Drosophila melanogaster: one gene and its partner. The gene in region 1 interacts genetically with each later gene. Each region holds a gene or a part of one and is shown on either strand. Other genes may lie near its edges.

Region 1 (3,756 bases):
AAGCTCTCCAGAGTGACATTTCACGAATTGGCCAAGTCCAATAAAATATTTGAGGCCTTGGAATGCTGGGCGTTGACTTGATGGCACCCAAAAGGGTTCGGTTCGTTCGGTTCGTTCTGTTCAATGCGAAATTTATGCGGTTTTCATAGAAAACGTATGACACTAAAGGGCCATTCTTCCCACCCCGTTTGTTTAGCCGTTAGCTTGTAAACGATGGCAATTTGCTGTCTGGCGGCACGTTAATAAAACTTCAAGTGCCACTTTGGGCCCGCTCCGATGGGCCAAAGATTAAAAAGGGATTCATGTGGCCACCTTCAATGCGAATCTCTGTGCAAATTGCCCATAAAAATGCATGCGAAATCGTTTAGTCGCTTCTCCCACACAATGGATGATGTATGGTCTGCCCCACAATGGGGCAATGGGCCAGTTTGGCCAAATTCCTTTCGATGCTCACCTGTGGTTACACTGCTGACAAGCGAAGCACTCCAAGTGATAGACATTGGTCCTTGCACGCATCACCATCTCGAAGGCTGGGATCACCTTGCTGCAGGCGGCGCAGTAGCCCGTGTTGCCAAACAATCTGCGGGGAAAAGTTATGAACAGATTAGTAAAAAGTTTGAAGTTTATATGGTTTACATGGTTCTGACTTCTTTAAGTAAACATCTTTACTCTTTGCTATTAAATTGAATATGCGTAAAAAAAAGCTTTAGGTAGAATAGGTACTGTTTAAATATAAATTACTCTTAGCAAGAAAGCTTCTTAAAGTCTTATAAAACTAAAAATAAGTCACAGAATATAATGAATACTTTATCTATAAGCATTATAGACCTGAGTTCTCAAGAATTGGTATCATTTTTAACTTCTAACATGACTAATGAATACCATCGTCTATTATACTTCTAGGTATATTACACTATCAAATGGTTTTAGTATTTCTTAAATCGCAGCTAACCTCAAGTAGTCCCGCTTGCAGAGCATCAGGTTGCCCTTGGTGTAGAGCGTGGAGCCCACCTCGCCCAGGCGGCAGTCGCAGCAGCCGCACTTGAGGCAGTCCTCGTGCCACAGCATGTCCAGGGCGCGGAGGAGATAGCGGTCCTGGATGTGCTTGCCGCAGCCGGCGCACAATTGGCTGCCGTTGTTGTTGTTATTGTTATTATTGTTGGCAGCGGCGGCGATGCTCTGGACATTCCCGTTGCCATTGTTGCCGCCACCGGCACCGCCGGAGTTGACCACATTGACCACGTTCCCATTGCCATTGGGATTGGGCCCGTTGTTCTGGCCACCGCTGTTCATGCCGGCGTTGCTTTGCTGCGACTGCTGCTGCTGCTGCTGCTGTTGGTTGGAGGAAAGCCCGACGAGACCGGGTTCGGTTTTGGTAATGTCCATAGTCATCATCTGCAAGGGGACAGGAGAAGATATAGTTATTACTCAAGGTTCCATCGCCGGAGTTTTGTGTGTGTGTGTACATTAAGGCTACCGAATCCCTGGTAATAACTGTAAGCGGAAGGGGCAAATCCCCAGGGCCACTGATAAGCGTACTGGGGCACGTATTGCCGCAGGATCGCCTGCTGCTCCAGCTCAATCGACTGCACGTGGGGCACGAAGAACTTGTCCATGTTGTAGAAATTGACGCGTTCTTCATCTTCGCAATGCATACTAGCGTTGTAGAGGTACTCCATTTCGATGTTTTCCTGTTTCCTTCGATTTCAACAGTTTTCTTACAAAAATGACCCGCGAAAGATCAGAAAGCTACTGAGTCTTCTTCTAGCAGTGTTGGCAGTGTTGGCAATACACAAACAAAATAACATTTTATGGCGTGTAAACTATCGTATGCTACTAAGTTCTCAAAAGAAAATAGCTCTTTTGTAAATAAGATGCACTAATCAATGCATTGGACTCATAAAAATAGTTTGGTAATTGTATTTTTGTTATATCAAATAAATTTTTTATAGCATTTTCCTTATTGTAAATTTCTTCAAGTGTCGGCCACTGGCAAAATGTAACGGCAATTATCAGCTGTGGCACAGTGTTGTGAAATGCGCGCCTCTGCGATGGCGTCAGTGTACAAAAGATCACTATTATGCAGCATACTTTTGGGCTGACCACTAAAGTGCACATTGGATTCGCACACAATTCGCAAACTATGCAAAATATTAATACCCCTTTGAAAATGCAATTTCCACAATGAAATGGTGTAATATTCATATTTTCATGACATATTTTCAGCTGAATAAAAAAAAACTACTTCTTCACTTGGGCTCGTCCGGGAATTGAACCCGGGACCTCTCGCACCCGAAGCGAGAATCATACCTCTAGACCAACGAGCCTCGTTGAATGACCCGCTGCTAATCACCCAATAAAAAGTTAGCGATCGTTTTTCGTACTTTCTCCTTTCGTTCAGCACCTTGCTAAGAAACTCAACCAGCGATGTTAAGGAACTTGGAATTTTTTTTTTTGGCCAATTACGATAATATCCCATATTTTTGGACTCTCTTCAAATAGTGCTCGTAGCCCCCAACATAGTATGTATGTATTATCCTCAACTGTTGTCGCCCGATAACGTTGACGTTAACAGAAACCAGCAAAGCGAGCAGCCAACAACAACAAATCAATACAAACAAAAGGCCCATTTACCCATACACAATTTCGTGGAATGCCAAGCGGCGATTTAAAATAACGAGATTTATGACAAATTGGCGCCCCCCATCCCTTGCCAACGCTAAATAGTTTGTTGCAATGTGCAAATTTCAGCAAGCAGCGAGGAAACCCTAAAAATATGCAATGCCAGCGATGCCGCAATGCACTCACTACACTGAACAATGCGGGGAATCATTGCATCATTTTTTTTTTCAAGAAACAACAAATAATATTTAATATTTATATATAAAAACAAGAGATAATTGTGTTCCTAAATGTCCTTGGCACAAAGTAAGAAGCTTATTTGGAATTTAAAATAATCTGCCTGTCAGCGAATCTCTTCAAAGTTTCAGTAGAAACTTTAAGTACTTTCACATTTTATTTTTCACAGTGCATCATTCTTTGCCCGCCGCAGAAGTTGTACACACAATGTGTGCCGTGTCTGGTTCTGCCTTTGGCCGCCTCTCTTTTCGCTGATTGCCCTCGTCCGTGTCCGTTGTCGTCCCTTGTCCGTTGCCCCTGTCCGTTGCCCATCGCCGGACAACCGGGCCAAATGGCTCGCATTAAGCCCTGCGCCATGTAGCGCCAACTGTGACCTCGACTTGACCACGGCCCAGAGAGTGGGCGTTGTGGGTGTAGGGGTTATGCAGCTGCTGGAAATGACTTTAATTAGACGGTCGCCTCCGATCCCCAATACCCACGTGCCCCCTCCCATCGCCAGTGAGTCGTCGGAGGGCGGGTCGAAAAGTCATCAGCAGTTGATGCCCGCCGGCCAGTCGACGGGGGCATCCAGAATGCCAGATGGGTTGGTGCAAGTGGATGCCTGGGTGGCTGCCACTGGACTGCTGCGCCGCCGACTCATAAAAATTCAATCAAATCAATTTATGTAAATTTAACGCGACGTTTCAAACAATAACAGGACCGGACTGGTGGACCGTAGGAGTGCAGGCCGGGAAATGGGAAATGGGGTATGGGGTATGGGGTATGCAGCGCATCAAAACTCAATTTTGGCAGCTGCAACATGCAACGCCAATGTGGCAGCGCAGACTGCATTGTTATTTAGTTTAGACAAATGAAATCGAATGCTAAACGCTGCTCGGAAAAGCGCGCGTCCATATT
Region 2 (3,756 bases), on another chromosome or scaffold:
TACACCGTCATCCGAGATCGTTATCCTAATAAAGAAGAACTTCAGAAAGCCTTCTTCAAGTTGGCAAAGTGGCATGCAGCCAGCATGAAAGTTTTAAATGAGGTGAACTAGTGCACCATCCATTGCAAAAGATAACAAAGTAAGAACTTTTCTTTTCAAGCGACCTGACTTTCTTAAGGAATTTAAGTATGGGTTATGGGGCATGCCCAACTTTCTGAACGATTCTATAGTGACAACTGGAGTACCCTGTTTCCTGGAAATGTTAGACAAGGTTCCGGAACTCACGAAATATAAGCCGTATTTCGAAAAAATAAAGGATAACTACATTCAGCAGATGAGTGCAGTCATGGAAGAATATCGCACTAATCCGAAGCCAAATAGGTACTACGTGCTGTGTCACGGGGATTTTCATGGGCGCAACATGATGTTTAGGTATAACAAGGAAACAGGGTCTTTCGAGGACGTAATGCTGGTGGATTTCCAGATCAGTAATGTTTGCCCCCTTTCCATTGACCTAATTTACTCCATCTTCATGGTAATGGATACGGAGGATCGTTGGGATCTTGGAAAGGAATATATCAATTATTATTTCTCTGTTCTGGCGGACACTCTGAAAAAAATAGGCTTCAAAGGTGAAATGCCAACTCAGACAGGAGTGTGGGAGCATATTCATGGCCATAAGGATTACGGTAAGGAACTAAAATTGAAAGACAGCTGTTGACTTGTATGCTTATTCCTTGTTACATCGTTATAGAATTCTTCATGATGACCAGCTTTCTACCCCTGGTGGCTGCCATGAATACGAAAACATTTAAAAGTATGGATTCATTTTTTGATCCGCAAACGAAACAAAAGTCTTTCTTTTTGGATGAATACATTACGGATGTCAAGATGCTATTGCGAAAATTCGAAGAACTGGGATATTTTAAAGATCTTTAATCCGATTGTATAAAATTAATTGAAATAAAAAAATAACTTCACATTTACCTACATAATTGCACTCGTTATTAACAAACATATACGTGTAAAGTTGCATGCATTCAAGGTAAAGTTCTTTCCCGCTATTGATTTCGAAATTCTAAAAGAAACATTTAAAACATACATTTATTATTTTATTGCTTATATATATTTACTGAAATCCGTTTCTTGCGTTTACCAAATATGTATATTATTATTATAAATAAAATCTTGGAATTTGTTTTATTAATATTGCTGACATCATCATGACTTCACATCATGACGGATAGGGCTGTTAAATTATAAACTTAAAGTTGGCAATGTGTCATTCAGTAATCAAAAAAGTCATTATCCTAATCATGTTCGGAACACGATGTTAAAGAATAGAACAAGGAAACAGAGGTCTTTGTGGCAGTAGTGATTTCAAGATCAGCTACACATATGCGCTCCAATACCATTGTCCCAATTTACTCCAACATCAAACTGAAAAAAGTGGGCTTCAGGGAGATATGTTCCCTTCCAGGAATCTAAAAGCATATCCATGGCCATAAGGATTACGGTCTTACGTCTTACATTCTGTCAAGATGCAGTTTCGAAAATATAGTTATAGTGAAACAACATAGTTATTTTGAAAATCTGTATCACGATTGTATAAAATCGGGCAAACTTGAATTTAATTCGTCTTCAAACATTTGATAATCCAGTAAGCTGGACTAACATTAAACATTTTTAGCGTTTTATACTTCTTACACCTGACCTAAATATTATTTCATAGAACAGAATAAATATCTGATTTATTTGTAAGTTTCTATTGATCACAGTATTTGTCCTGTAGAACAGATTTCAATGCATATTGATAAGATCATTGAGTAGACGTATTTCACACAAAATCGAAAAGTTTCGTGTTAAAAGGTTCAAGCCGCTTTCGAAAGCTCACTTAGCCAGCCTTTATAATAAGTGGGCACATAGGAAGGTTTAGTATACCCAGATCAAACATCATTCCGAATTGTTTGTTGAGAGCGCGAAATAAAAATGCCAGAAAACGCAGATACCGAGCAATTTAATGCCGATGAGCTGGAGGCTCCTGCATGGCTGAATGCCCAGTTTATTACTGACGTTCTTAGAACCTACGAAAAGTGTCCGGAACTGGAGGTTACCGATCTTAAAATCACTCCGGCGAGTGCCCAGGGAGATCACTACGCAAGCGTAATGTTCCGTACTACTGCTGAGTATACCACTTCGAAAGGAAAGTTCTGTAAGCCGCTAATCATTAAAACGATGCCAGAACAAGAAGGACACAAGAAGGATATGCTTAGCGACTCACATTTGTTCTCCACCGAGATTAATGCTTACACTAAGGCTCTGCCCGAATTCGAGAGAATTCTCCGGGAGGCAGGCGACGATACAAAGCTATTTGTGCCCTGTATCTACCACAGTCTAGAGCCTCGGCAGGTGTTAATATTCGAGGATTTGGTGCCGCAGGGATACTTCGTGATCCGAGATCGTCCAATAAACATGAACGAATACAAAAATGTTTTCTCCAAACTGGCCAAATGGCATGCTGTTAGCATGAAAGTCTTGAATGAGCAACCTGATATCTTGAAAGACTTCAAGTATGGGCTAATGGAAATGCCTTCTATTATGTCGGATCCAATGGTTACTACTGGAATGGACAACTTTTTGAAAATGATGGACCAGATTCCTGAACTTACAAAGTACAAGCCACACTTTGAGAAAATAAAAGAGAACTACATACAGCGTATGGGTGATGTAATGCAGGAATATCGCAAGAACGTTCAATCCGATGGATACTACGTGATGTGTCACGGAGATTTTCATGGCCGAAATATGATGTTCAATAAAAATGAGGAGGTCATGTTTGTAGATTTCCAAATCTGTAACCTGTGTCCCATTACAATCGATTTGAGTTATTCTGTGTACATGCTCATGGAGCCAGAGCAGCGATGGGATCTCGGAAAGGATCTTATTAACTTTTATTTTTCGGTTTTGGAGGACACGTTAAAAAAAGTTGGCTACAAGGGCAAGATGCCGACCAATGATGGTCTGTGGAAGCAAATACACCGACACAAGTTTTATGGTAAGTGCCTATTTTATTTATCGCCTAGTTTCAATAAGCCTAACCACTTCAATATTTTTACAGACTTCTTCCTTTTAACCACTTTTTCGCCAATGATTGTGGCCGTTAAAGCGAATACGTTTAAAATACACGAGTTAATTCAAGATCCGGAAATCAGACAAAAATCATACCTCTATGACCCTTATGTTCAAGATGTCAAAAAGCTTTTGGGTAAATATGAGGAAATGGGATACTTTAACGATCTTTGATCTATTTTTAAAGCTATCAGTTAAAATGTGTATATATTGCATGGCTAATTGATCGCAACTATATGAACCATGTAATTTTTTAGGGTTTCCTTTTGCTTTAAATTAAATAACAAAACGTATCATCAAATTAAATTTTTCTTTTTTTTTAATTTGGGTGTAAAATACTCATGGAATATTTGTCTGGAAAGCTTACTGTATGTGGAAGCCCGAATACTTTTGATCGAATGTAACGCAATCTTCATTAGCCCTTTGTCACTATTCATCCAAGAATCCAGATAGCTCGAATTCTTTAATAGTTCGCTGAAGGAAAGCCCGATACTTGGGGTTTTCAACATTTTCCCGGCGGAAACGATCACCGCTCTCAGTGCGTGAGTTCAGATCCTCAAGGTTTTCGAAACCAGCTCCCTCCCTGAAGATCAGTGGAGTCAGGCAAGTGGCGCCAATGACACCTAT

Evidence for each region. Genes that interact genetically often act in the same process or in processes that back each other up.
Region 2: of Bx (region 1) and CG11893, changing one enhances a phenotype caused by changing the other (phenotypic enhancement), as found in Drosophila melanogaster (one study listed by BioGRID).

What each region holds. Positions count from the first base shown.
Region 1 is NC_004354.4:18,564,335-18,568,090, reverse strand, and holds the start of Bx (beadex), read right to left. Parts: upstream 1,786-3,756; 5' UTR 1,680-1,785; coding exon 1,467-1,679; intron 1,396-1,466; coding exon 953-1,395; intron 581-952; coding exon 455-580; intron 1-454.
Region 2 is NT_033777.3:25,287,938-25,291,693, forward strand, and holds CG11893 (uncharacterized protein), read left to right. Parts: upstream 1-1,951; 5' UTR 1,952-1,989; coding exon 1,990-3,055; intron 3,056-3,118; coding exon 3,119-3,303; 3' UTR 3,304-3,429; downstream 3,430-3,756. Other genes in the region: CG13658 (uncharacterized protein), read left to right, coding at 1-102, 161-689, 755-939; CG31098 (uncharacterized protein), read right to left, coding at 3,559-3,752.